Cricetulus griseus: one gene and its partners. The protein of the gene in region 1 interacts with the protein of each later gene in a pairwise test. Links are inferred from orthologs where the notes say so. Each region holds a gene or a part of one and is shown on either strand. Other genes may lie near its edges.

What was found.
Region 2: the proteins of Trip10 (region 1) and Was interact in a two-hybrid assay, tested with the Homo sapiens proteins (2 studies listed by BioGRID). The link is inferred for Cricetulus griseus from reciprocal best matches to the Homo sapiens genes TRIP10 and WAS.
Region 3: the proteins of Trip10 (region 1) and Arhgap17 interact in binary tests that used the Homo sapiens proteins (3 or more experiments, as listed by UniProt). The link is inferred for Cricetulus griseus from reciprocal best matches to the Homo sapiens genes TRIP10 and ARHGAP17.
Region 4: the proteins of Trip10 (region 1) and Abl2 interact in binary tests that used the Homo sapiens proteins (3 or more experiments, as listed by UniProt). The link is inferred for Cricetulus griseus from reciprocal best matches to the Homo sapiens genes TRIP10 and ABL2.
Region 5: the proteins of Trip10 (region 1) and Htt interact in binary tests that used the Homo sapiens proteins (3 or more experiments, as listed by UniProt). The link is inferred for Cricetulus griseus from reciprocal best matches to the Homo sapiens genes TRIP10 and HTT.
Region 6: the proteins of Trip10 (region 1) and Arhgap12 interact in binary tests that used the Homo sapiens proteins (3 or more experiments, as listed by UniProt). The two-hybrid records come from large-scale screens. The link is inferred for Cricetulus griseus from reciprocal best matches to the Homo sapiens genes TRIP10 and ARHGAP12.
Region 7: the proteins of Trip10 (region 1) and Sh3bp1 interact in binary tests that used the Homo sapiens proteins (3 or more experiments, as listed by UniProt). The two-hybrid records come from large-scale screens. The link is inferred for Cricetulus griseus from reciprocal best matches to the Homo sapiens genes TRIP10 and SH3BP1.

Annotation. Positions count from the first base shown.
Region 1 is NC_048598.1:96,232,938-96,237,194, reverse strand, and holds the start of Trip10 (cdc42-interacting protein 4), read left to right. Parts: upstream 1-1,457; 5' UTR 1,458-1,580; coding exon 1,581-1,604; intron 1,605-2,784; coding exon 2,785-2,900; intron 2,901-2,984; coding exon 2,985-3,041; intron 3,042-4,257. UniProt on the Homo sapiens protein: Required for translocation of GLUT4 to the plasma membrane in response to insulin signaling. Required to coordinate membrane tubulation with reorganization of the actin cytoskeleton during endocytosis.
Region 2 is NC_048604.1:114,563,753-114,567,849, reverse strand, and holds the start of Was (wiskott-Aldrich syndrome protein), read left to right. Parts: upstream 1-1,297; 5' UTR 1,298-1,346; coding exon 1,347-1,478; intron 1,479-1,798; coding exon 1,799-1,939; intron 1,940-2,683; coding exon 2,684-2,770; intron 2,771-2,877; coding exon 2,878-2,980; intron 2,981-3,089; coding exon 3,090-3,131; intron 3,132-3,222; coding exon 3,223-3,276; intron 3,277-4,097. UniProt on the Homo sapiens protein: Effector protein for Rho-type GTPases that regulates actin filament reorganization via its interaction with the Arp2/3 complex. Important for efficient actin polymerization. Possible regulator of lymphocyte and platelet function.
Region 3 is NC_048596.1:77,348,059-77,352,230, forward strand, and holds the start of Arhgap17 (rho GTPase-activating protein 17), read left to right. Parts: upstream 1-1,372; 5' UTR 1,373-1,509; coding exon 1,510-1,562; intron 1,563-4,172. UniProt on the Homo sapiens protein: Rho GTPase-activating protein involved in the maintenance of tight junction by regulating the activity of CDC42, thereby playing a central role in apical polarity of epithelial cells.
Region 4 is NC_048598.1:35,224,239-35,227,738, reverse strand, and holds part of Abl2 (tyrosine-protein kinase ABL2), read left to right. Parts: intron 1-1,598; coding exon 1,599-1,683; intron 1,684-3,327; coding exon 3,328-3,500. UniProt on the Homo sapiens protein: Non-receptor tyrosine-protein kinase that plays an ABL1-overlapping role in key processes linked to cell growth and survival such as cytoskeleton remodeling in response to extracellular stimuli, cell motility and adhesion and receptor endocytosis.
Region 5 is NW_023276807.1:103,884,181-103,887,680, forward strand, and holds part of Htt (huntingtin), read left to right. Parts: coding exon 1-132; intron 133-1,763; coding exon 1,764-1,878; intron 1,879-1,994; coding exon 1,995-2,208; intron 2,209-2,610; coding exon 2,611-2,716; intron 2,717-3,500.
Region 6 is NC_048596.1:208,325,457-208,329,738, forward strand, and holds the start of Arhgap12 (rho GTPase-activating protein 12), read left to right. Parts: upstream 1-1,482; 5' UTR 1,483-1,620; intron 1,621-4,282. UniProt on the Homo sapiens protein: GTPase activator for the Rho-type GTPases by converting them to an inactive GDP-bound state.
Region 7 is NC_048595.1:376,004,188-376,008,118, reverse strand, and holds the start of Sh3bp1 (SH3 domain-binding protein 1), read right to left. Parts: upstream 2,801-3,931; 5' UTR 2,655-2,800; coding exon 2,596-2,654; intron 1,473-2,595; coding exon 1,430-1,472; intron 1,190-1,429; coding exon 1,085-1,189; intron 39-1,084; coding exon 1-38. UniProt on the Homo sapiens protein: GTPase activating protein (GAP) which specifically converts GTP-bound Rho-type GTPases including RAC1 and CDC42 in their inactive GDP-bound form.

The DNA of each region.
Region 1 (4,257 bases):
GATCCTAGGCACCTCACCCTATTTTACACGCCTAATCTTTTTTTTTGATTATCTTTATTATTTTATGTGCATCGGTGTTTTGTCTGCATGTATGTCTTTGTGAGGGTGTCAGATGCTGAAGTTACAGACAGTTGTGAGGGCTGGGACTTGAACCGGGGTTCTCTGGTAAAGCCGTCGGTGCTCTTAAACCACTGAGCCATTTCTCCAGCCCCCCCCCCCCCCCCCCCCGCCCATCTTCTACTGAGCCCCCAGATCTGGAAGAGTCCCAGCTTCTGGACCCCAGCTGTAGATAGTCTTCAACTCTTAACTAAATAGCTGATCCCGCCGCTAAACTCGCCACCCCAGTCTGATAGCTTATTCTCATCAGACCTCGGACCCCTCCTCCACCCCCTCTCCCCAACCCCCACTCGGCTTTGCGTGTGCGAGCTTATCCTTCAAGCTGCCAGCAGGTGGGGCTAATGCTCACCGGAGCCTCCGTTCCAGTGGGGTCTCCAGGGCATTTTTCCTCAAAAGTCCGGACTGCGCTTCTCTTCCAGATAAAGCAGCAGAGGGGTGTTTAGGTATTTCTGCAGTAACGGAGAAAGCACCTACGGCCCAGGAGAGCGGGGGTGGGAGCCACCAGGGCCTTTTTTTCTTTTCCATCTGGGAGCCTCAAGGGGATTTACAAGGTGTGAAAGGACCTTTATGATTGGGAGGACCGAATTTCTGAGCCCCAGGGCCCCAGGGTCTACGCTAGGGCGGGGGTGGGATGGGGTGGGGTGGGCGCGGGAGCCACCTAAGAATCTGGTACGCAGTACTGATTGGGCCTCAGAAAATGGGGCTGGGAAATGGGCAGTCAGGTGCAAGTGCGAGCTGTGTGTGTGTGTGTGTGTGTGTGTGTGTGTGTGTGTGTGTGTGTGTGTGTGTGTGTTTAGTCCAGAACTGGGGCCCCAAGGGCAGCCTGTCCTCAGTTTCTCAAAGGAGGTTCTGGCGGGGAGGAAGGGAAGTCAGGATGCGGTGGGGGTGCGCTAATGGACCTGGCATTAGCTGGAGGTGCGTCCAGGGCTGGATCGAAATCATCCCATCTGCTCTGTGGCCGGAGGGAACCAGACCATTAGTGAAACGAAATGGAGATTTCTGGAGCCTAGGTGGCCCCCGCAAGAGCCTAGTGACCGACCGCAGGTTTTCCCTGCCATGTGGTGGGGAGGAGTGGGTTTGGGATTTTGATATTTTGATCCTTTGTAAGAAATGCGAAGTTAAATGGAAAGGATGAATAGTTTGGGATGGCAGAGGAGAGTAATATCAGGGTACAGACTGGAAAGTAAATCGAGGCATCTTTTAAGGAGGTCCAGAGCCCTTTAAGAGAGGGCGGAACATTCGCTGAGCTCCGCCTCATTGGGTTCCTCCCTTAGGGCTCCCCGCTCCAGGCTCGGCGGGGCAGGGGCGTGGCAAAGCGCTAAGGGGCGTGGCGCACTGGTTGAGTGGGCGTGGTCTGGTGGCGGGGCGGGGCGGGGTTGGGCACACCGCCCTGGGGCTGAGTTTGGTGGAGGGTGGCGGGGACCCCGGCAGGAGGTGGTGGCGTCCCCGGCGGCAGGACGAGCATGGATTGGGGCACCGAGTTGTGGGTGAGTCCTTTCTTCCCAGCTCACACGGTTCTCCCTTGCTGGGGTCCTGGCCTCTCCGCTCTTTGTCCCCTATGTACCTTTGCCGGGACTCTGTGGTTTCCCTCGCAGCTGATCCTGCGGGTCCCCGCCTTCTGCCTTCAGCACTCTCTCAAAAGTTCCTTGGGGACTTTCTAGATGCTCAGAGGGCCCTAGGGATACTTTGCCTAGGACCCGTATAGGGAAACTGAGTCACAGAGTTGAGAGTGAGGCCATCACAAGAAGTCCCTAGACCAGGCCAGGAAGGGGGGGGGCAGCTGGGCGAGGTCACCTATTTTGAGCGCCCTGGCCTGGCTTGGAGGCTAATCTTACGGCCCCTGGGTCCCTGCCCGCCGCCCGGCTGGGAGGGGGAGGGGGGCCCCTTGGTCACCTTCTCTCCCACGTGGGGCCTCACTCGGTTGCTTCCCCGCTTGCAATTGCCCTAAAGGGCTTGGGACGCTGAGGGGGAGGGGAAGGGGGCTGCAGGACTCGGCTGGGCGGAGCCACCCCTTACCCGCCACTTAACCTCACCCAGGAAGCCCTAGAAGTTTCCCTGAATCCTTGTTGGACTATTGACCCCTCCTCTTTCTGGAGGCGGTGGAGTCTTCGGGTGTAGTGGAGGCAAGCCACTGTAGTGGAGGCATCACAGAAGCGGGGGAAACTGAGTCACACCCCGGGGATCGTGGCAAATGGGGAAATCTGGCCATTGAGGTTCCCTCCTTCCACGCACTTTGAGCTGCACAAACCCTTCCCTTCTGTGCCTGTCTTATGTGCCAAGCCCGCTTGATTTTCCGGAATTTGGGGGATTAGAGGGTTCGGAGGGAGCTGGAGTAGCTTAGCCTCCTCCCACACCCTCGTTGGCCACCCGGATTCCAAGAGACCCCGCCGTCCGGTTTGGGGCCCTGGCGCTGTTGTCCAGGCCCTTCCCGGGAGGAGGAGATGGGGGTTCCCGCCAGCTTCCTGCCTCCCCCTGCGCCACGCCGGGGCGGCGCCTGGGGAAGCCAGCCAGTCCTTGCTGGAACCGCCGAGCCACGAGGTTGTGTCGAGGTTGTGCCGTGTCCCACCCCCTGCCTGTGCGCCCCCACCCTCTCGTGCATCTGGTCTCTGGGGCTTCGGTGCTCCCTCCAGGTGACCCTGACCTCCCCAATCACTCCCCTGGAATCAGGATCAGTTTGAGGTGCTGGAACGCCACACGCAGTGGGGGCTGGATCTGTTGGACAAATACGTGAAGTTCGTGAAAGAACGCGCAGAGGTGGAGCAGGCTTATGCCAAGCAACTCCGGTGAGCGCTAGGGTGGGTGCTTGCTGGGGCTCCGCGGTGATCCGGCAGGTTCTCAAGCCTCCCTGCCTCTGTCCCCACCCTTAGGAGCCTGGTGAAAAAGTACCTTCCCAAGAGACCTACCAAAGATGACCCCGAAGTCAAGTAAGAATGGGATAAGACTCGGAAAGGGGCGGTGCGGGAGCTGGGCATGGGTCCCTCTCCTTCCCAGAGGACTCCATTTCCGCACCTCCAGTCCCATCTCCCATTAAAAGTCTGGGTGACCTGGGGTGAAATTTACTCCCAGCAGAGCATCCTTTTGGGTTTATAAATTGTCAACTTAGCACAGTTATTGGGGGAGAGTGGCTTTTTACTTTTACTATTTATTTAATTTTGAGAGCGAGGTGCACCTACATATGCCACGGGGCATTTTCCAAAGCCAGATGATAGCTTGCTAGAGTCGGTTCTCTCCTCACGATGTGGGTCCCAGGCCAAACTCAGGTCACCGTGCTTAGCTGCAAGCGCCCTTTACCTGTCCCCTTTATCTGTCAAACCGTCTCGTTGGCCCTAGTTTCTATCTTTGAGACATGGTTTTGGCTGTTCTGTTACTCCCTCTGTAGCCAGGACTGATCACTAATGAGGCAGCCCTTGTGCCTGGACTCCCAAGAGCTGGACTGACCAGCATGTATCATTAAGCCAGGCTTGGGCCAGTGACTTTTAATTATCTCTGTTCTAATCTGCAAAATGGGTCTGATGGTGGTGGTCCCTATTCTTGCTGGTGTGTACAAAGATGAACTGAGTTTATTTGTCTAAAAGCACCGGGCATGTTGGTGCACACCTGTGATCCTAGCACCCTTGGGTTCTAGGCTGGCCTCAGCTATGTAGTTAAGTTTGAGGGTAGCCTGGGCTGTATGATAGATACCCTGTCTCAGATTTCTAAATGAACAAACTGGTAACCAGTCTGTAGTTATTTCCAGGAACTTTAAACTGCATTCTGAACCCTTCCCCTTAAAATCTAAAAGGTGAGCTGGGTATGGTGGCAAGTACTTATTATCCCAGCACTCTGGAGGCCAAGACCCAGAGGTTGTGAGTTCCAGGCTGGTGTGGGCTACATAGTGAGACTATATTTTTAGTAAAAATGTAAAAAAAAAAAAAGTTTTAATCCAAAAGTTCCAAATTTAATCCCAAAACTCACAATATAAAAATTAAGAGTTGTCTTTCTGCTCTTTCCTGCTCTTCTTTCCTGTCTCCCTCTTCTCTTCTGTTCTCCCCCTGTGTCTTTACCTCTTTTCTCTTTCATTCCCCCTCCCTCCCCTGTCTAATAAAACTTTCACTCAAAAAAAAAAATTAAGAGAGTTATTTGTGATAGCTGGATAGATTG
Region 2 (4,097 bases), on another chromosome or scaffold:
TAGAGGACATGAAGGTGCATGGACAAGGTCCTTTCTTTCCTTCCTTCCTTCCTTCCTTCCTTCCTTCCTTCCTTCCTTCCTTTCTTTCTTTTTCGAGACAGGGTTTCTCTGTGTAACAGCCCTAGATGTCCTAGAACTCAGTCTGTAGACCAGGGTGGCCTGGAACTCGGAGATCCTATTCCTCTGCCTGCAGACTGCTGGGATTAAAGCGAGTACCACCACTGCTCAGCAAGATCCTGTATCCAATTCTCATCACCAAAAGTGGCGAAAATCAAACCTTCAAAGGTTACATACTTTTGAAAAGTCCCAACATAATTTAAAAATATCAATCAAGGGCTGGAGAGATGGCTCAGCAGTTAAGACCACTGTCTGCTCTTCCAGAGGACCCAGGTTCAATTCCCAGCATCCACATGGCAACTGGAAACTATCAAGTTCCAGGGGATCTGACACCTTCACAGCAATGCACATTAAAATAAAGTTAAATACATTATAAAAATAAAACAAATATTAAAAAAGCAATCAAGATGTTGTTTTAGAATTTATTTATACTGTGAAGTCCTTCCTTCCAGAATGAAGTTGGCTGGGCATTGGTGGCACACGCCTTTAGTCCCAGCACTTGGGAGGCAAAGGCAGGTAGATCTCAGTGAGTTCGAGGCCAGCCTGGTCTCCAGAGCAAGTGCCAGGATAGGCTCCAAAGCTACACAGAGAAACCCTGTCTCGAAAAACAAAACAAAAAACAAAACAAAACAGAATGAGGTTGATCAGAAGAAAGTAAAGAGGGAGCTACAGGAGGCAAGGGTAAATGATGAGGAAGTAAGCCATGGGCTTATATGTTGTTGGCGATGTTCAAGGCTGGAGATGGGGTCACTGCGCCATTGCAAGGAAAAGCTGTAATGCAATGACCCTTCAGCACCTGGAGCCTTGGACTCAACCCCAGGCCAGACTGGTGCTTTAGGGAAGAAGGAGATGACACAGCCTTGTGACTACTCTGAGCAGCGAACCCTGTAGAAGTGCTGCAGATGGCTTAGCTCTCAGCACCAACTAGAGCGAGATCTGAGCTTGTCAGAAGGAAATGGCAAGAGAGAGACAGAGAGAGGGACAGAGAGGGGGGAAGAGAAAGAAAAGGAAGAAAGGATCCCTGAGCTCATTACAAACATGGTTCTAGCTAGGCAAATGGAGGATGGCCCCAGTCAGTTCTACCGAGGAGGACAGGCCCTCTGGGGGCCCCTGGAGGACTTGTTTCCCTTGTGGTTTATTGCACTTCCTGTTCCCTTGCTCACTGCGGAAGTTCCTCTTCTTACCCTGCACCCAGAGCTTAGCCGAAGAGGACTAGGGCAGAAGGCACCATGAGTGGTGGCCCTGTAGGAGGCAGGCCTGGGGGTCGAGGGGGACCAGCAGTTCAGCAGAACATTCCTTCCAACCTCCTCCAGGACCATGAGAACCAGCGACTCTTTGAGCTGCTTGGCCGAAAATGCTGGGTGAGTTGGGGATCTCCTGGTCCTCCCAGTCTCCCTCCCTTTCCTCGTCTTCCTCTCTACCTCTTCTTCCCCCTTTTGCCTTCTCCTCTTACCCATACATCCCTGCTCCTTCTTCTTCCCATCATCCCTCTTTTCCCTTTCCCCCATCTCCTCTCCCAGCATCCACTTACCACAGTTTGTGGATCCCAGGACTATCTTGATATCTACCTTCCTCCTGGCTATAGCTCTTTCCCCCAAGCTCATGACAGCCTCAAGCAGGCAGGGGCCAGGCCTGGTTACCCGTGCACAGACTCCAGTGACCCCCTGCTGTCCCATCCTAGACACTGGCCACTGCAGTTGTTCAGCTGTACCTGGCACTGCCCCCTGGAGCTGAGCACTGGACCATGGAACACTGCGGGGCTGTGTGCTTCGTGAAGGATAACCCTCAGAAGTCCTACTTCATTCGCCTCTATGGCCTTCAGGTGACCCAATGCCCCACTGGACAGAAAAGCTAGTCTCCAACCTGCAAAACCAGTTTTTGTCCGTAGCCTCAAGCCCTTTTTCCCATCAGAACTCCAGAGCCAAAGACCAATACAAATCCCAAATTGTGTTTTCTCATTGGAGTCCTAGATGACTGAATTCAGAAGGCCCATGCCAGGGTCCTGATCAGCTCCACAAACTCCCCTGAAACACCACATTTCTACCTGAGCCGAAGCCTCAAATCTGTTCTGAATCCAACATGGTGAATATTTGTAGGCCTAGAATCTTTTTTTGTTTGTTTGTTTTGTTTTTTGTTTGTTTTTCGAGACAGGGTTTCTCTGTGTAGCTTTGGAGCCTATCCTGGCACTTGCTCTGGAGACCAGGCTGGCTTAGAACTCACAGAGATCCGCCTGCCTCTGCCTCTCGAGTGCTGGGATTAAAGGCATGAGCCACCAACGCCCGGCCTGTAGGCCTAGAATCTTAAATTCACGGCGTTGAGCCCTCAACTCCTACAAATGGTCCTCAAATCCCAGACCTAGATCTCTCACATCAGTGTCAGCTTCTAAGACTCTCTCCCAATCCCCCATACCAGACACCTAGACCCCAAATTCTGCTATTGAGCTGACGATCTCTAAATAAGACTCTAGGACACCAAATCTGGACACCACACTCCCTGATCAGAAAACAAAAGTCTGCCACCCACAGTGCCTGCATGCCAGCATGTCCCCCACCCTGCCCCTCTCCAGGCTGGTCGGCTACTCTGGGAACAGGAGCTGTACTCACAGCTGGTCTACTTCACTCCCACTCCCTTCTTCCACACCTTTGCTGGAGATGTAAGTGAGCAGCCTAGCCTTGGGCTGCAGTTGGGGTGTGGGGAGGCCAGGAGAAAGCCTGGGGGGTAGGGAGTGCTAGAAGTTTGCTGACCCCAAGGCATATATAGGACTGCCAAGTAGGACTGAACTTTTCGGACGAGAGTGAAGCCCAGGCCTTCAGGGCTTTGGTGCAGGAGAAGATACAAAAAAGGAATCAGAGGCAAAGTGGAGGTAAGGAGAAGCCCTTGGTGGGGGTTGGGGAGATAAGTTAGACATGTGAGGTGAGGCTGGAAGAGCCCCTCTTGTGGTTCTGACTCTCAGTCTACCTATTCAACCACAGAAAGACGCCAGCTACCACCGCCACCAGCACCAACCAATGAAGGTGAGTCCTCCAGTTCATGTAGCTGTTATAAGGAACTAAGCCAGAAACCTGTGGCAACAATGTAACATCTTAACTTCTTCCATTTTCCCAGAGAGAAGAGGAGGCCTCCCACCTCTGCCCCCACATCCAGGCGGAGACCAGGGTGGTGAGTGGTGGTTTTCTTTCTTTTTTTTCTAGACAGGGTTTCTCTGTGTAGCTTTGGAGTCTATCCTGGTACTCCCTCTGGAGACCAGGCTGGCCTCCAACGAGTGGTGCTTTTCATGTCCCTGGAGAGACGGTGAGGAGTTAGATGAATGAATAGTTGCATGAATGCCTAAATTTGTAAAGAGGTGGATGGCTGGCTAGGTGGATGGGTGGATGAGTGGATAGCCGAGCATGTTGATGGATTGGCAGCAGATAGAGGAGTAAATTGGAAGATGAACTGATGATAGATTATAGATAAATAAGTGAGTGGGTATTTGGGTAAATGGGTGAATACTTACTTGTATTCAAGTAATGAATGGATGGTCCAGTGAATTAATGAATGGGTATGTAAATGGATAGTGAAAAAAAGAAATGAGAGGTAGTGAGCTGGCTCAGCACTTGTCACTGAACCTGGAGACCTGAGTCCTATCCCCAGAATCCACACAAAGATAGAAGAGAACCTACTCTTTAAAATTGTCTTCTAGGCTGGGCGTTGGTGGCGCACGCCCTTAACCCCAGCACTTGAGAGGCAGAGGCAGGCGGATCTCTGTGAGTTCGAGGCCAGCCTGGTCTCCAGAGCGAGTGCCAGGATAGGCTCCAAAGCTACACAGAGAAACCCTGTCTCGAAAAGCCAAAAAAAATATATAAAATAAAATTAAAAATTAAAAAAATAGGGCTGGAGAGATGGCTCAGCCGTTAAAGGCTAGGCTCACAACCCAAAATATAAGAGTTTGGTTCCCAGCACCCACAGCTGTCTCTCCAGCCACCAAAAAGAAAAAAAAT
Region 3 (4,172 bases), on another chromosome or scaffold:
ACAGTCAGAAAGCAGAAGGCTTTGCATGCTCCTGGTTCAGCCAGCTTTCTCCTTTTTATACAGCCTGGGGTCACAGATGATGCAACACTGTGGCCCACATTTAGAGTGGGTGTTCCCATCTCAATTAACCTAATGTAGATAATTCTTGACAGACATGCGCGGAGATTTGTTTCTAAGGTGTCTCTAGATCCTGTCAAGTTGACACTTTAAACCATCACATAGCTTGTGAAGGAAGCCATAGTCCACCGGATGCAGGGAATATTGTCTACACAGAGCCAGGGCTGCAGGTCATAAAATTTGCCTGGTTCAGTTAGAGCAATGTGAAATGATCCCACCAAGTTTCCCCTCTCCACTGTGTCTGCGAGGGCTAGGAATCAGAACCCTATGGTCATTTAAGGCAGCAGGGACTCAGACCCATCAGTGCAGGGGCTGGTAAGGACCAGTTTCCTTTGGCTGTGGGCCTATGTGTATACTCTGTAGGTGGCCTTCATCTGATTGATCCTAGTCTTTTAGCTTTTCCCATGGACCAGTAAGCAGCTCCTGAAAAGAGCCTTCATGACACACTCTCTCCTGACACTTTGCCCTTTGTGCAGGACAGAGGGCAAGGTGTGCGGGTGTTGAGGGCCTGGAGCTCCTCGAAGGGTTGGTTCACCCCGCTTGATCTGGCTCGGCTCACTCCTGCTCTGCTAGGATATACTCTGGTCTGACCCACCAACTCGGCTTAGCTTTAACCAGATTTAGGTTCTGCTCGCACTCCCTTGACTTGGCCTCACTCCAGTAGGAACACCCTTTCTATTCGGCTTGGCTTGGTCCGGCTACTCCCTCTCCAGACTGGCTCGGCTCTGGGGTCCGGCTGGGCGAGGCACCATCTGTCTGTGTTCCACCCTGAGCAACCGAGCCGGGATTTACTAAGGCTCACCCGCGTTCCAGCTGGCCCCACTAGAGTAAGAACCCAGGTTGGGCTCAGCTCGCTGCTTCCAGCAGGGCTCACGCTAAGAACCGCGGGGATCCAGGTGCCCCGCTAGGTTTGGCTCCGCCCTTCTTGGGGGAGCCACGCTCGTCCATCCCTTATTGGCTCAACTCCACCCCTCTCCACTCGACGATTAGTTCGGCTCCACCCCAAAGTTCGCCTAGCTTTGGTGGTCTTGCTCCGCAAGACTTCTCTGGTTTCTGCCCGGCCGGGTCCAGCTCAGCTCCACCTATCTCGTTTCGCCCGGGTTCGGCTCGGCCCCACCCACCTCGCTGGTTCCCGCCCTGATCGGCTTAACTCCACCCATCGCACCTTCTTGACTCCACCTCTCTGGTTTCGGCCTTGTTCGGCTCCGCTCGGCCCCACTCGGTCGAGCAGGAGGGGCGGGCGACAGCCCTGGAAGTGACGCGGCGAGGGCGGGCCCGAGTTGTAGCCTCGGTCGCCGCCTCTCGGGCCGGGAAACGATGTAGGAGCCGCCAGACGGTCCCCAGCTCTCCCCGGCCCGAGCTCCGCGGCCTGTCGCCGCCGCAGCCGCCGCCATGAAGAAGCAATTCAACCGCATGAAGCAGCTGGCTAACCAGACTGTCGGCAGGCGAGTGCGCGAGGGCGGTCCTGCGCGCGAGGAGCCGAAGAACGGGGAGAGCCGGGCGCGGCCGGGCCTGGGCCAGCGGGGCGGGGGTCTGCGCCAAGCTGCGGCTTAAGCGCTGCCCATTGTCCTGCCCTAAGGACCATCGCCCTCGGGGGACCCACGCGAGCCCTTACTCCTCTCTGTCCCCGCCAGCCCGAGCTTGGCGCCTGCTGCGAAAACTCCGCAAACTTGTGTTCCTAACGCAGTGCCAGGCGCGCCGCTTTGGGGGCAGCGTTCCCAGGCTCTCCCAGTCGACCCGCTGTTGCAGCCTTCCTCCAGAAGAGCTTGCTGGTCACAGGGAACTGGAGGGGTGTTAATGCCAATGAAGTTCAGTCTCCCAGTGAAGGAATAGAGACGTGCAATCTCAAAATCCAGGCTATTGGGAACTTGTTGCGAGTTCTTGACGTTTACAAGTTTGGAAAGGGAAAAGGATGTCTTTTCTCCTCTTGGATGCGGAAACAGATATTTTGTTTCTTTGATACTGCTTGAGTGCTTGATAGGAAACATTGTTTTTTCTTTCTTTTTTTTTTTTTTTACATGAAAAGATACAGGAGAGACTGTAGATGAGTAGGCTGTGGAACAGGAGCGATTTGCGGTTTTTAAGAGCTTCAGGAGGCTGTTGTCATGTACTGTGCTAACTGTAACAAATATTTCAAGGTCTTGCAGGGCAGATAGCTGTGCTGAACCACTTTGCTGTTTATTCTGCACGGAGATAGATGAATTTTTCACAGCTCTAACGCTTTCTCTCCTCCCCTGGCAGTTAAGGGGAGTTTGGTTTGGTTGAAGCACGTGAGACACTTCTTTTTTTGTATATGTAGGAAAATACTTTTACTTCCTCTTGAGTTTTCTAAATTTGCTTTTTAGAATGTTTCATTTCCCTCAACTTTTTGCTAGGTTTTGTTACTGAGTTTCAAACAACAACAACAAAAATAACTCATGTAATTTTGGTATGCATTATCCTTTATCTAGAATCAGTCCCTGCCCCTTAAACCCAGACATGCCTACTTTACTGCTGCTTGTAGAATTAAAGAAAGAGGAAGATCAAGACAAACAATCCCAATGGCTCAAATGAAAAACATTATGAGAAATAATTTCTTCTGAGTTGTGCACCCCTTTCTCAGCCATGCATGGCAGAATCAAAACTTAGTGAATACCAAGATATATTTGTTAGGTTGCTGTTTATTTACTTATTAGACTGCTTTGTATTGTGTGGTACAAGGGACAGTTGCTGAAAGCTCTGTAGGGTTCTGTGGGCTCCTGCTTCCCCTTAGCTTCCCTTCCTACTTTTACATTCCAGCCATACCTACCCACTTTCAGTTTCCATGGGAGGCCTGTGTTTCTTCTGTATTATTCTCTTCCTGGACATCCCGGAAGCCTTTTTCACCACATCTAGCTGATAGCTACCTCTTTCTCATTCTTCAGGTCTCTCAGTGATAGTCTCTGTGCCCTATGAAGGTCCTTGGGGCATAATACCATACGCTGCCTGCTTTCTAGACTCAAACTCCCTCTTTACCTGTGTGTGTTGGTTGTTTGACTAAGCACTCTTGAGTGTCTTTCCTATGTGTCTTTGGTTCCCACGATTTGTGACTCCTATCTCATGACAGATAGCCTGTTGAAATTGTTAACTTCAGGAGTCTAGCTCTTACTACATTGCCTGGTGCTGTGGTATTAAGTTTGGGAAAATGTGAACAGGATAGAGTGGTGGTGATTCATACTGGGACAGTAATTCCGGCCCTGACCTTTGACTCTTTGAAAATCTTTATTGCTAGATGCCAGTGGAAGCTGCAGCTATTGCAGAGCTCTAAGGGTGTGGCAGCTATGAGACTCAAGTCAGAACATCTGTTTTTATTGGGGAGAAAACCTGTTGCTCTCTAGCTGTTGATTTCCTAGATCTCGATATCTCCCTCCCTCCCTCCCTCCCTCCCTCCCTCCCTCCCTCCCTCCTCCTGTGTGTGTGTGTGTGTGTGTGTGTGTGTGTGTGTGTGTGTGTGTGTGTGTTCCTATTTAAGTAACCCTAAGGGGTAGAAAGAAAAATAGATGACAAACCTGAGAATTATTATTGAATGGAGCCAGATGATTGATAGGCACCAGAAGCAAATACGGGTGTATTTGAGTAAAGATCTTTTCTAGCACAGATTTCTCCCAGCTGTGATCTGTATAGAGAAGGAATTTATATATGTGAATGCCCACTGTTTGTTTATCAGTGTATAGAGTTGTAGATGGTACCTTCTGGTGAGGTATTCCTGTAGGATGGAATGGCTCGTGAGTAACTCCACCATGAAGTTTCATAGCACCAGTAAGTGGAGGATTAGCAGTGCCTAGAAAGAATGAGCTGTTATGATGCAGTTTGTGTACAGAGGATGGATGAGTCTATTGGTGGTGTGGGCAAGGCTTACTAAGTGGTCTTATGATGTAGGTGCCCTAAAGAAGAGTAGTTGTTTTTGCCCACCTGATGTTTAGTGAGTCAGGTATTCAGTGAACACTGAGGCCACACTGCCACACCACTGAGTGTTATTAAAGAATCAGATAAATATGAGATTTCTGCCCTGGAGCTGCTCAGTAGACATGTAGGCA
Region 4 (3,500 bases), about 61 Mb from region 1:
AATTCATAAAAGTCCTTTTCCTGATCCTACTGTCCCTTTGAGTGTCATGGTATAAAATCATAGATTGTCAGTAATTCATATGAGATGTTCTCATGGGTAGTAGTCAGCCCTGTTTACATATTCTGAATGTGAAGGAAGCAGTGAGGCCTTGCACATGTGCTTTGTTCTTTAAGAAACATAGGATTGGGGCTGGAGAGATGGCTCAGAGGTTAAGAGCATTGGCTGCTCTTCCAGAGGTCCTGAGTTCAATTCCCAGCAACCACATGGTGACTCACATCTCTAATGAAATGTGGTGCGCTCTTCTGGTGTGCATGAAGACAGAGCACTTATGTACATAAAATGCATACTTCAATAAATCTTTAAAAAAAGCAACAAACAAGCCGGGCATTGGTGGCGCACGTCTTTAATCCCAGCACTGGGGAGGCCTGCATCTCTATGTCCAGTTTATACTTGCATTCTTGAAACTTTTAGGTTTCTTGGTGGGTCCTTGGAATTATAGCATAGAGCTGTAAACTATTTTCTTTTCCCTTAAGACAGGATCTCAGGTGGCTCCGTGGTGCAATGGATAGCACACTGGACTTCTAAAGGAAGACAGGGTCTCACTGTGTAGCCATGGTTGGACCCAGAGCTTGCTGTTGTATAGATAAGGCTGGTCTTGAACTCACAGAGATCTGTCTGCTTCTGCCTCCCAACTGCTAGTATTAACAGCATGTACCACTACACCTGGCTATAACCATTTATAAAGCATGATGTCAATAGCACAGACTTAAGTGTTAGACCATGTGACTTTAAGATTCTCAAGTAGGCTGGGCATTTGTGGCATACGCTTTTAATCCCAGCACTCGGGAGGCAGAGGCAGGCGGATCTCTATGAGTTCGAGACCAGCCTGGTCTACAAGAGCTAGTTCTAGGACAGCCAGCCTCCAAAGCCACAGAGAAACCCTGTCTCGGAAAACCAAAAAAAAAAAAAAAAAAAAAAAAAAAAAAACAGGATCTAATCCGATCAGTCTCAGCCCCTCTATTGTGAGTTGTAAGATGAGGCTGTTCAATTTTTTTATTTTTTTCCGAGACAGGGTTTCTTTGTAGGTTTGGAGGCTGTCCTGCAACTCTCTTTGAAGACCAGGCTGGCCTCGAACTCACAGAGATCTGTCTGCCTCTGCCTCCCGAGTGTTGGGATTAAAGTTGTGCGCCACCCCAGCTGAGGCTGTTGAATTTTGCTTACCCTTTTTATTTTTAGTCAAATGTCTGACACTGGATAAATTCAAGGACAGTATTCTTGGTCTCTTTTATTTAAAAAACATATTTTATGTGTATGAGTGTTTTGCCTGCATTTTAAGTTCACGACATGGGTGCAGTGCCCAGGGAGCCCAGAGGAGGGCATCAGAGTCCCTGAAACTACAGATGGTTATGAACTGCCATGTGGGTGCTGGGGACCAAACCCAGGTCCTCTGCAAGAGCAACAAGTGCTTTTAACTAATGAACCATCTCTCAGGCCCTTTTGCTTTTCTACCTGAAGTAGGCTTATGGGTTGACTTAAATGAATAAGAGGGAGGTTTGACCTCCTTTTTGTTTTTCTTATCTACTTTCTCCCTTTAACAGGAAGATACCATGGAGGTCGAGGAGTTCCTGAAAGAAGCTGCAGTGATGAAGGAAATCAAGCATCCTAATCTAGTACAACTGTTAGGTAAGAATCCCAAACCACAGATTTCCTCAGGCCCACGCGCCCACCCTAGTGTTTTGTTGTCTGCAGATTGTGTTTTTGCAGATTGTTCTGTTTTGTTTTAGCACCGTGGAAATGCTAGCTGTGCATTGACTGTATTAACGATACCATGAGCTGGGCATGCAGACCAGGGGGGAGCTAGTAAGCACCACGTTCTAGGCTTAGTGCCGCAAACACACACAGGGATGCGAGTGCACGCACATCCCTTCTCTTTTAACTAATAGACTCATTAAAACAAAAAACAGTGCATCGAGTTGATTGCTTTTTTTAAAACTTTTATTTTGTATGTATGCATGTTTTTCCTGGATGTATATGTCTGCAATGCCCAAGGAAACCAGAATAGGACATTGGATCTCCTGGAACTAGAGTTGTAGGTGGCCATAAGCCACCCTGTGGGTCCTGGGAATCAAAACTAGGTCCTCTGGAAGAGCAGCCAGTGCTCTTAACCACTAAACCAACTCTTCAGCCCCTTTACAATTTTTTTTTTTTTTTTTTTTTTTTTTGCTTAGTTTATGTGTTTGGGTGTTTTGCCTACATGTGTATCTGTGTGCTGTGGTGCCTTTGGAAGCCAGAGGAGGCATTGGATGCCCTGGAATTTCAGTTACAGATGGCTGAAAGTTGCCACGTGGATGCTAGGAATCAAACCCTGGTCCTCTGGAAGAGCAGCCAGTGCTCTTAGTTCCATCATAACTCCAGCCACAGACTGATTGCAATGTGTAAGCTGTCCAGTTTGTGCTTTCCCCAGGTTCATAGTTCACAAGCATTCAAGATGGCATCTAAAAATTGTCATGAAATATTAAGAGACTTTAAGCAAAGAACCACTGAAAAAAGTGAATTAAAACTTGTGGCTGATCAATTTATTAAAGCAGGAAATGAATATGCTGCAGTGGGTTATTTTTTTTTAATCTGTTTGTGCTACAAAGGAGTCTTTGATTAAATATTTTCCATTTTTAAAAGTCGGGCCTGTTTGGTTTTTGGCAAGACAGGGTTTCTCTGTCTTATCATAAAGTTGCTCTGGCTGTCCTGGCACTTACTCTGTAGACCAGACTGGCCCTGAACTCACAGAGATTCGCCTGCCTCTGCCTCCCTGATTAAAGTGTTCTGATTAAAGGTGTGTGCCACCACTGCCTTACTGGGCCATTTTCTTTGAATATTTAATTAAGCTAAGCTATGCCATAAGAAAATTAATATGGAATCTGCCATATGATAATGAAATCAACTGTGGAGACAGTTTTACAAAGTAGTTAGAGCAAGTAAGCATCAGCATAGGCCTAAGTTCTGTTACTTGTGATAACATGGTTTGCACACAGTTGAAGGGGCTGTCGGGTTAATGTAAGAAACTGCGCTAGGTGTGGTGGCGCACACCTTTAGTCCCAGCACTAGAGAGGCAGAGGTGGGCGGATCTCTGTGAGTTGGAGGCCAGCGTGATCTACAAAGCTACACGGAGAAACCCTGTCTGGAAAAAACAAACAAAAGGGGGCGGGGTGCAGATGCTGTGAAGCTGCAGAGGACAGCACGGTGAAACAGGCTCTTACTAACCTGTTTTTAGATTTTTGTTGTATTTATTTCATAGAATGTGGTGAAGATTGTCAAATTGTTCTTGGTCAGGTGTATGTACCCTGGAGCCCCCGTTCTACATTGTGACTGAATACATGCCCTACGGGAATCTGCTTGATTATCTCCGGGAATGCAACCGTGAGGAGGTGACAGCCGTTGTTCTACTTTACATGGCCACTCAGATCTCTTCTGCCATGGAGTATTTGGAGAAGAAGAATTTCATC
Region 5 (3,500 bases), on another chromosome or scaffold:
CCTCCCCAGCCAGATCGGAGCCCTGCATGGCATCCTCTACGTGTTGGAGTGTGACCTCTTGGATGACACTGCAAAGCAGCTCATTCCAGTTGTTAGTGACTATCTGCTGTCCAACCTCAAAGGAATAGCCCAGTGAGTGGGGCTGGCTGGGTGGGCTACAGCCTTTGGTGTAGTCTTAACAACAACAACAAAACTAAAAAAATAAAACAAAAGGGCCCTATTTGACTTTCCAAGTATATGCTAGAACTACCATGGTAGGACATGCTTATAATCCCAGCATTTGAGAGGCTGAGGCAGGAAAATTGACATAAGCTTGAAAACAACCAGGGCTACAGATGAAATCCTGTTTCAAAAGCAGTAACAAAGTATATGCCAGGTCCTGGTAGGTCACAGGCAGGGAACCCAAGAGGGTACCTTTTTTAGGAAATAGTAGCCATGAAACACAAGGATACAAGTGTATGTCCAAAGCTTTCTTGGTTATCTCTAGCAAGATGAAAAGTCCTGCCACTGCATCACTCTACAGTGGCACTGAGTACTCTGAAGTGGACAGCAACCTTATCTTCTGCTACCAGAGTTAGCCTCTTTTTTAGCTTCTGAGCAGCCCCATGTTTCCTGTGAGGCCCTTTTATTCCTGCTCTGATCTCTGTCTCCCCATAAAGATGCATTACATGTAACTGCACATGGATGTATTGCTGGTCCTTTTGAAAACAAGTTGAGCCCATCACAGCTCTGTTTTAGAAGGGGGGGGGGGTGTGCTGTGACCTAAGGAGGGACACACAGCTGGACACTGAGAAGTTTGGGGCATGTGTTAGGGATGAGAAGGGACTTGCAGGAAAATCCAGCTGTTCTTGACAGAAATGGAGAGTAAAGTTAAATGAAAGGTTTGGAAATGGTGAGGTCTTAGGCTGACAGACATAGCTGCTATGAAGAGGTAGCATTCTGACAGGTGAGCAGAAGTGCATTTCAGGGGCCCAACAGGCAGTGGCAAATTGAGCTGAACAGATACAGTGGCTTGTAGGAAGGCACTTTCTTCCCTGTAGTCCTTACTGAATAGTAGCTTACATGTATATGCAAGGTAAGCAGACAACCACCCACTATCCCTGTGATTCTAGATCCTGACCTGGAGCAGATTTGAGCATGTTATGGGCAAGCACAATCTGCTGAGAAATGAAGAGGGCATAGAGGACTGGGGTGGCTGTGAGGAGCTTGCAGTGCCCAGTCAGATAATAAGTATATCTTGCTTAGTGCTTTGAGCAGAGGGTTCCATGTCACATACAAAACAGTGGCCAATTCCTAGGAGTGACGGTGTCATTTGAACACATTTGAAAGGATAAAAGAAATGGTGTGTGGCTCCTTTGTTTATGGTGGCATTGGTTTAACTCATATGCTAGCCAGGTCCCTACTGTTGCTGTTGGCAACAGATACCAACTGGAGATCCCATAAATTAGAGTGTTACAAGTTGGCACATACCACACATGGAGCAAACTGACACTCTAAGGATGCATCTTGAGCATGAAGATCTGTAGGGACAGTGAAGTGGCCTAGAGAGGTACAGTATTGGGGTAGTGTATCAAGTTGAGGCCATGCAGCTCTGGAAACAGTGTAGTCACCAGGCAAGCCAGGAGAAAAGTCCTGGAGAAGCTGGCATGGCCCAAGGCTCTGTACTTAATAAACACGATGGATATGCTTTAAAACTGTCCCCACTGCAGACAGCCAGGAGCTGCTGTATGTGACTGGATATGATTACTGTCTCCCATTCTCAGCTGCGTGAACATTCATAGCCAGCAGCACGTGCTGGTGATGTGTGCCACTGCATTCTATCTGATGGAAAACTACCCTCTGGATGTGGGGCCAGAATTTTCAGCATCTGTGATACAGGTGAGAGGGCTTTGGATGGGCTCTGTTGGACATGGGCAGGTTTCCTTGTGTACTGAACCAGTGGGTCATTGTGCTTTTGAGAGGGTAAGAACAAACAAGCCTTTCTTCTTGTCTAGATGTGTGGAGTGATGCTGTCTGGAAGTGAGGAATCCACCCCCTCCATCATTTACCACTGTGCCCTCCGGGGTCTGGAGCGTCTCCTGTTATCTGAGCAGCTCTCTCGGTTAGATACAGAGTCTTTGGTCAAGCTAAGTGTGGACAGAGTGAATGTACAAAGCCCACACCGAGCCATGGCAGCCCTAGGCCTGATGCTCACCTGCATGTACACAGGTGAGCAAGTTGTAAGGGTTGTAGACTCACCAAAGGACACTGTGCCTGGCCTAGCTTCTAAGAAGTAAAGCAGGAACATATTCAGGAACACAAGCCAGACCTCATGGTGTGGCAGCCTTAGTGTGGCCCTAAACCAGCCCTGTCACATTTCCAGAAATTCTAGGGCCCAAGGAAAGAGAGCAGCTCACATGACACCACCATGTATAGGTATCAGAGCTGCCTCTGGCCACTGCATCCCTGAGAATTGTAAGAAAGTTGAGCTGCACCCTACCTTGCTAGAGACTAATCACCTGTTTTTGAAGGATCTCTTTCTATCTGGCCAAGTCCTATATGAGTCACTGAGTGCTGATTTCAAGCCTCTTGGGTTTCAATCCTATAGCTTCCTGGGTATTTCTGTTTCAGGAAAAGAAAAAGCCAGTCCAGGCAGAACCTCTGACCCTAGCCCTGCTACACCTGACAGTGAGTCTGTGATCGTTGCTATGGAGCGGGTATCTGTTCTCTTTGATAGGTAAGAAATGCAACACAGCCCCACCTCTAACCTCAATAATCATTGACTATCCTAGAGCCAAAGCCAGAGCAGTTGCATCTGTGTGTATATGTTCATCCTCTTAAACTTTAAAATGCAGCTTGTGGCCATTTTTCCAATGTGTATAATGTATATTCACAGAGCACCACTTGTAGCCAAACTCAGGGATAACTGGGCCCATGCATGTGTACAGCCATGCCACTGTCCTCATGGATCCCACTGCTGAGGAAATAAACACTCCTGCGAGTGTGCCCAAGTGATGTGGTGGGGCTCAGGTCATATTCACAGGAATGCACCCTTGGTTGGGCAGAGACACAGCTAAGTGTCTGAGTTACTTTTGCACTTTTCAGCTGTACACCACAGTTGTGCGTGCATTAGTGGGATAGTTCTAGGTCAGCTGTCTTTCAGGATGTAGGTAAGGGGCAAGTGTTGAATGTTGAGAGAAGAATCAATAGGACATAATGGGTCCTTATCTGATAGAAAGAAGAACTCCTGGTTGACAGTAGTGCTCTGATATTAGGACATGTAACAGTGAAAAGTTCTTGGAGCATTTTGATGTGGAAAGACTCTCCTATAGTGTCACCACCCTACCCTCTTCCTGCTATTCCTTTACAGGGATTTCCCACAACTCTGCATTATTCTCCTCATAGTGGCAAAGATTACCCTGTGCCTGGATCAATCGGGGCAGCAAAAGAAAAGTCTAGGTGTCACCTTTGGCTTTTAAAGTTCATACCCTAATTGTGGTCTGAGCCATACTTGGAGCATC
Region 6 (4,282 bases), on another chromosome or scaffold:
AGCATTACTGTGTATGCTGAACAATGGCATATTCTGTATATACTGAACAAGGGCATGGAAGAGGGAACATGTTAGAGACTGGGGGAGACCGGAAACATGATGAAAGCCAATGAAAGGGAATAGCAAATGCAAAGACATAGTAAGTCTTTTATTTTTAAACTCTCATCTTGAGCATCTAAGAGGAGAATTTGTTATAACATTAGCCGGGTTAGATTTAATAAGGATTATGAGACAGTTGTTAGAAACCTTGCCAACATCCCAATGGGGTTTATTTATTATCACTTAACAAACAATTGAGAGTTCAGCTTGTGCTAAGCTAGACATTGCTACATCTTTGTGGATGAAGCCAGAAAAGAGCTATATCCAGAACCTGGCTCTTGAGCCCTAGGCCGCCGGCTTTGCTTTCCCCTCTTCTCTGGTGTTGCTGAAATCTCATCTGGCCATCGTAACAGGCACAACCAACAAGTGGTTAATGAATGATTCCTGAATTCCCAATACTTATTATACTTTTTCAAAGTCTTTCAATTTTAGATCCGGAAGGTTTTAAATCAACACTCTTCACATGATAGTAGAGGTGCAGAAGGTTAAGCGGCACATAATGGCAGAGCCAGGCCTCAGCGGATTTTCATTCTAGCAACTCTCACCACATAATCACTACCCAAACCCTTCACTGTGGGCCACTTCCGGGTTCCACGTTGCCACACTGCAAACTTTGGACGATGACATCCTGGCCCACGGTGATTGCATTCGGCAGGCCCTGTGGGCTCAAAGAGCAGTCATGCCCTGCGTACTGCTCTGCCAGCACTGTGCGCAAGGTTCAGGCCACCACCAGTTCGGCATAGACCTAGTAGCTCAAGACCACCAGAGTTCCATTTCGTGCCAATATAAGTGCCGCACGTTCCCCCAGGGTTGCCAGCCTGTGGACCCGTGATCCAGGGCGCCATTAAGTCCCAGAAGGCAGACTCCCTGCCGCCGTAGCACTTTCCGTTCTCCCGTATTCCCACTACCGTTTTCCCAACACTTCCCACTAGATGTTTACGAAGTGTTGACACCCACTCGGCCGCCGGCTTCCGCGCCCTCCCTAATGCCTGCGCACCCCCCCACAAGCCTGCCTAACCAACCTCCCGGCACCCCGCCCAACTGGAACTCCGCGGCCATCTCTCCCCGCGCGCCCTTTGCTGCCTGGAGCCTGGCGCCCCGCCCACTCCAGCCGTCACGTGAGTCATCTGCGCTTCACAGCACTAACCCCGGGCCCCCACGTCACGTGACCCACACCATTCCTGCCCAACGACAACACCTGCCACGCCCTCACTGTATCACGTGGGTCCTGCGCCCCCGCCCCTTCTAAGGAGACACGCCCCGCCCTCTCAGCGGGCGCCCGGCCCCTGTCCATCACGTGACGAAAGTCACGCCCTCCCCTTAGAGCCCGCCCCGCCCCGCCCCGCCCCCGCGCCGGCGCGCTCCGACGTGCCCTGGAACTTACCCTCCCTCAGAGACCAGCCTGCGGGGACGCCCGGCGGTGGCGGGTGCCGATTGAGCGCTCGTCAGGTAGTCTCTCCGTCGCTCGGCCGCAACGCCGGCGGAGGAGGGAGCTGCCCGTCGCTAGGTCTCCGACCCTTGGTAAGAAGGCCGGGCGCGGGTTCCCGCGGAACGCACAAAGGCGCTCGGGGGCGCGGGCTTTGCCTGCGGAGGGCTGCGCTGGGGAGGGCGGCGGCCGCCTGGCGCACGGGGCGAGCAGGTTTACATGACCCGGGTCTCAGCCTGCGCTCCCGAGCTTCCTGCTTGCGGGCAGCGGGCCCTCGGGAGGGCGGGAGAGCCGGTCCGCCCTCCGCGGCTGCTGCCGGTGGACACACCTGCCTCCTGGGCCGCGGCGGGCACTGTGGACGCGAACGGCGCGCTCTCCCCGGCCCGGAGGAGTGCGTCTGCTGCCCCCGGCTCTGCTCCGAGATTCTCTTCTTCCGAGCCCTTGAATCAAAGAGAAACAACAGACCCCGCTGCCAGCGCGCTGTCTACCTCCCGTCTCGGGCGCTTGTTTTGTCTTTCCGGAAAGGCTGCCCTTGACACGTTGTGTCTTAAGTTACTGCAGACCCTCGCAGACAGAATGGCCACAAGGTGGTCATTAGAGAGAAAGGCACGCCCTTCACTTTCAGAGGCGGGTGATGTTTTCCTTTTTTCTTTTTTTTTTTTTTTCTTTTTAATTTTGCCTGCAGCAGCAGTTTAAAATGCTTTGCAAAGGCGAAAGTTAAATGTTTTTAGTGTATCATTTTTTAAAAAGTTGAATGCCATTCCAAGTGAAATGCCACCACGGGTAAAGGTTTTTAACACTGGTTACAAGGTTGGCCGTGTGTGGTTCAAGTTGACACGCGGAAGTAGATTTTATTGCCCATTTAGGCACACATTCCTAAAGGGAGGTACATTGGAGGAAGGAGCATTAACAAGGAGTCACCTGGGTTCTCATTCAGATTCTGCTGTCCGACTTAACAGAGGTGAGACCTTGGAAGACTCCGAATGTTGCAATGTGAAATTGTTCAGAGTGTCTAGCCTGTAGCAGTGCTTCTTTTGTACTTAAAGGTGAAAAATGGTGGCCTGGAGGTATTTATTTGCTCACGTCCGGTTTTACTTACCTGATCTCTAAGAGGGTGTACTGTGGAATGGATCATCTTTCCGTTTCTCCGCTGCTCTGAGTCTGGCTGCAGGTGCAATATTTTCTATTTTAAAATTGCATTGGAAGCCTTTCAGAACAGCTTTTGGAACCCAAAGCCAGAGGGGTTCGTGAAGGTATGATTTAGCTGTGCCATGGAAGAGTTAGGCCAACAGGGTGTACATAACTTTCCACCTTTTTCAGGTGTTTTTCTGTCCAGGAAACAAAGCATAATGCGCTCTCTCTCTCTCTCTCTCTCTCTCTCTCTCTCTCTCTCTGTGTGTGTGTGTGTGTGTGTGTGTGTGTGTGTGTGTGTGTGTATTTGTGTGTGTGGTCCTTAGTATTTATTGACAATCTCCTGTTCCTTATCAACCATAGGGTTGGAGACTGCTCATTGAGTCATGATTGACGCCACTTGTGTAGATTAGTTGTGGTTATATAATTATCAATCTTTTTTGAATATACTACTCTAGTTGTGAGGCATAAATAAAATATATAAATGTTGCAGAAAAGCTTATTAATTGTAATCATTTGGCTTTTTTAAATCAAAATATTTATCCAATGCTTTTAAAAAATGGCCTGATTAAAAAAATGAGCTTTGTAATTTAGGTCCTAAAAGTGCAAATGACATTACTGGGATTAACGGTAATAATTCTATTTATTTATTTTGAAATAGGGCCTCACTTTATAGCTCTTGCTGGCCTAAAACTCACTATGTAGACCAGGCTGGCTTTGAACTGACAGAGATCTCCCTTCCCCAAGTACTGGGATTAAAGGTGTGCACCCACCATGTCCATCTAAGAACAATAATTTTAAATAGACTAAAGTGAGATAGTGATCTGTAAAGTTACGACCTAGTATTATTTATCTGAGAAAATGGATGTTGCCATTTTGTAATAAACAAAAGAGAAAAGTGAAATTAAATTTCTATCACACTTTGTATTTAACAGTTTCAATCTTAATTAGGGGTGTGTATTACTAGAAGTCAAACCCAGGGCCTTGGCGTACTAGGTGAGTGTTTTCTAATAAAACCAACAACCCAATAAATATTATAATTATAAACACGTTCTATTCTGTAGAATAAGTCAGATGTAGAAATTAATTTTGTAACACAGGGATTCATTGTACTTTAGGTCACCATCAGTTGAAAACCCAAATATTGGACCACCATCTTTGTGATTCCACTTTTCTTTGGTTAACTGGTTTAGTTGTGCCAGAACCGAACCATGTGATTGAGCCTTTGCCTTGTTGCTTTCATAGACCCAGTGAATATCCTGTGGTTTCAATTTGTAGGTGATTTGAACTGAGCCAGCAATGGTGATGCTTCATCTGTTGACAATGCTGTTGACAGTCTGGGGCTTCTCTTACCCTAAAGTACAGGGTGGGGAAAAACTCTTCTAAGAAACCCCAGGTCATATGTGTACTGTTGGCATCCAGACCACCGACAACTGTAGTATCCTAGAAATGCACTGCCAGCTACCCTGTGATTTTAATTTCTAGTACTCATGTTACAAAAAAACCAAGTGTGCAAACTACATGTAACATAATTCTATTTAACCTAGTATATTAAAAATATCATAATTAGCATGAAAATTATTCTCATTTTTTGATTCACTTTCTGATAGAATGTATAGCTTATAC
Region 7 (3,931 bases), on another chromosome or scaffold:
GCCATCGTGGTGGAAAGAGCCATGAGAGGGAGCTTCTTCTGCAGGGAGGGTGGGGTGGGCAAGCAATCGTAGTTTACCAGTCTCCTCCACCCAACCTGAGCCGGGATCACCTGGCCATACCCACACACCAGCAGAGGGAGGAGCCAACCATTCAGAAACTGGATGAGGTGTGTGTGTGTGTGTGTGTGTGTGTGTCTGTCTGTCTGTCTGTCTGTCGCCTCACACACTCACACACAAGATCTCCCACCTACTACCTAGGGTCCCTCTCTTCACCGAACTAGGCAAGAAGAAATGATCAATCCCAGGAAGACCAGGGAACTACCAAGCAGAGAGAGGGAGCAGGAAGCTGTCACAAGGTCACACCATTGCAAAGAGAAGAGCTGGCCTGTGGCTAGGGGTAAGATGACCCTCCTTCCCTACCTCAGGGCATAGGTGGCTAATCCAGCCACCACCTAGCTCAAACTTTCCAAGGCTGCCTATTGCCTCACACCCAGGCCCTTCTAAGGGAAAGCAGAGACTTGCCTGCTACCTTCAGAGCACTTCAGAACACTTCAATGTTGTCCAAGTCCCTGGGATTGGGACTGGATAGTTGTGAACCATGTGGGTGGTGGGAACCCAACCCAGGTCTCTACAGGAGCAAGTGCTTTTGCTGAGCCAACCCTCCAGCTCCAACCATAGGAATTTTTAAACATCCCTTTACTTCCACCTGGAGTTTGGAGAATACGACACACTACATTTTACAATCAGAGGGACCACAGGGTCACTTTTGCCACTTGTTAGCTGTGTGACCTTGTGTTAGTAAATTTAGGTCTTGGGCTTCCGATTACACACAAGTGACTTATACAAGAGACTTGCCAGGGCTGTTGGGGAGACAATGGTTAGCCATCTTAGCAACAGTCTGGCAGGAGTAATACATGCTGCCTGTAGAGTAACAGTGAGTGAGCATCCTCATCCAGCTCAAACGCTGCTCCAGCCACCTAGAAGGCCTGGGGGTGTGCTGGTTGGTAGCAAACCCAGAGAGCCTCATTCCCACCCCATCCCTCACCACTCACTCAGGCCCCTCCTCCTGGTGACCCCCACTTACGACCCGCTTGTCCATGTCAGCCCCGCTTTGGCCCTGGAGACAAGCCTGCAGCCGTTTGTGAACATTATGGGCTGCTCGCTTAGCAGGCTCCAAGCGCTGCTCCACCTGGGAGGCATAGGGAGGGACACGTACTGTAGACTGTAAGGGGTGATTGCTCTGTTGTCTCCCCCTGAGCAAGAATCATTTTTCTCTTCCCTCCTGGGGCTCCCCTGGCCAGCAGGGAATGACTCAACTAGGCCCGGACTGTTGTCCCCGCCTGTCAGCCTGTCAGCCTCGATACTGACAGCCTGCACAGACCTGCCTCCCAGCCCAGCCCAGCCCAGCCCAGCCCGCCCAGGCACGTACCTGCAGAAGGTCCTCACCCAAGAACTCGGCAGTCTCTGGGGTGCTGTGGGGGAAGAGGGGCTTCTGCTGAGTCCTCTGGGTTAGGAAACACACTGCCTCCCACTATCCCCTGCATATGGCACCTGGGCCTGGGTTGTTTCCAGGACCACCAAGCTTGGGTGGCCTGTCTGCACCGCAGTTGGAGCACATTCCATGGGTTTTAGAGGATGCACGTCTGCTTCCTCCTCCACCCACGGCTGTGCTGGGAGAGGGTGTTCCCATGACACCAAAAGGACAGGAGGGAGCTACCCAGGGCTCAACTTTGGGACATGGAGGCAAAGTTTCCCTTGTCCCATCCCCCAAATTGTTTGCCTGTCCCGGAAAGAGGAGGCCTAGGCTGGCCCCCCAGAACGGGAAGTGTGGAAGCTGGCCTCCGGGGTGGTCAGGCCCACAGGCACAATATTGGACTGCAACTGTGGACAGGTCCCGGGACTCTGCCCAGGGACACATAGGCACATGGGTTCACAGCAAAGTGGCCTGGCTTCGTATATGCACGCAGGTGTCTATGTCATTGAAGGATTGGGTCAAGTTTCTGGGCCCAAAGAATGGGGAACTCCCAGGCTGGGGAAGAGGAGCAGAGAGAAAAGCTCCAAGAAACTCCCCAAACTTCCGCTCCCCTAGTTCTGGAGCTGGGGACCGAAGAGACCAGAGAGCGCCTCTACCTGAGCCTTCGAAAAGCAGAAGCAGGACTTTGCTGTAGGAGGCCCCTGGGCTGGGGGAGGGGACGGACACCCAGCGCGGAGCAGGCCACTCCTCCCCAAGCCAGAACACCGCCAGTCCCTTCCTCCATGGTCTGGGGCCCCCGATCGGCTCTGTTCCTCCCCAACCCTGCAGTTAGAGGTGGTTAACTGTTCCCATTGTCCGGAGGGGACCAATGAGGCTCTCCGGGCAGCGTCCAGGCTCAGGGCGCATTCTGCTCTCCTTAGCCTTTCCAACGAGGAATGGAGGTGCCTTTCCCCGCAAAGGCCAGCTGTGCCTGTGCGACCACAGTGGCTTCAGACGCCAGGAAGCGAGGTCAGGGCTCTGGCATACAAGGGGGCCGCTGACCAGAAGTCCCCGACCCCACTCTCCTGCACCCGCTCAGGTCCTGCTGGGTGACAGCAGGGCTAGAAGGGGGTGACACTCACCGTCCCAAGCTGCCCGTATGGGCCAGCTGCCGCATGCGGTGCAGTTGCCTCTTCATCATCTTGAGTCCGGGCTGGGGGCTGAAGGGTCACCGTGGGGGTCGAGGCTGGCAGCCCCTGGCCCAGCCGGCTTCCCCGCGCGATTCGCCCCGGATGGGTGGGCGGCGCTCTGGCTTCCTGGGCCGGCGCGCTCCTCTGGCTGGCGCTGGCGCTGGCGCTCTCCTCCCCCGCTCACGACTCCGCCCCCGGCCCCCAGGTCACTCCTCTCTCCAAGTTTGGTGTCCCGCTCTTTCGCAGCTTCCGGGCCCCAACGACCCCCGACCGGTCGCCTGGCGAGTGTCTGTTGGTCTGTCTCTCTGCTGTACGCAGGTTGAGTGCGGCTCCTCCTTCCCGTACCCTGCCCCGCTGTGGTGGCCGGTGGCGGGAAGCAGGTAAGCCGCTCCTGCCACCGCCGCCCTGGGTATAAACAACCTTTGCTCTCTTAAAGGGAAAAGAAGGCTCCGTGCCTTGAAGGGACAGGCCTTCAGGACCTGTACAGGCTAGTCACTAGGGGATGCTCCTTGGAGACTTCTTCCCTTATACCATTCCCTGGCCATATCTCATGCCTGCTGGACCACTAGCTGGGAACCTGGACTACCTGGTCCCCAAAGTTCCTCATTCACTGTGTTCCTCATAGTGGCTTGATGGGACAACTGTCCTGGACCAGCCCATGACACAGGGTAAACAAGATACCCCGGCCTGCTCCTCAGCCTTAGATCTCCTCCACTTTAAGGGTCCTCAGCTTGGATGGTTCTATTTGTAAAGCTCTTTCTCATTCCTCCTGGCAAAAGTCCCTGATCCCTGTCCTTCCTTCTTGTTAGGCACTCACTGGTATGGGGTGCTGCTCTGAACCCTCAAGACCAATAGAAGTTTTCTTTTTGGAACGTGCCGCTGAAAACCAGCCTGTACATACAGTAGATGTTCATAACCGGTAGTTACTACAGGGCAAGAGAGCCTGTGGGCAACAGCGCGCTGACTCCGGGGGAGGGGAGGCTACAGGAAACCCTGAGCACTGCACCACACTTTGTAAGTTTCAGTTCAGAGCCCATACCACTTGAGCACCTACTGTGTGGGCCCCTTTACTGTTCAAGAAGTCCTATTGAAGCACGGTGGTGGTGGCACTCGCCTTTAATCCCAGGCAGAGGCAGGTGGTTCTCTGTGAGTCCAAGGTCAACCTGGTCTACAGAGCGAGTTCCAGGATAGCCAGGGCTACAAAAAGAAACCCTGTCTCGGAAAGCAAAACAAAAGAAACCCTATTGAAGATGGGAGGAGCCCAGAGGGGTCCCTGAAGCTGCCCCTG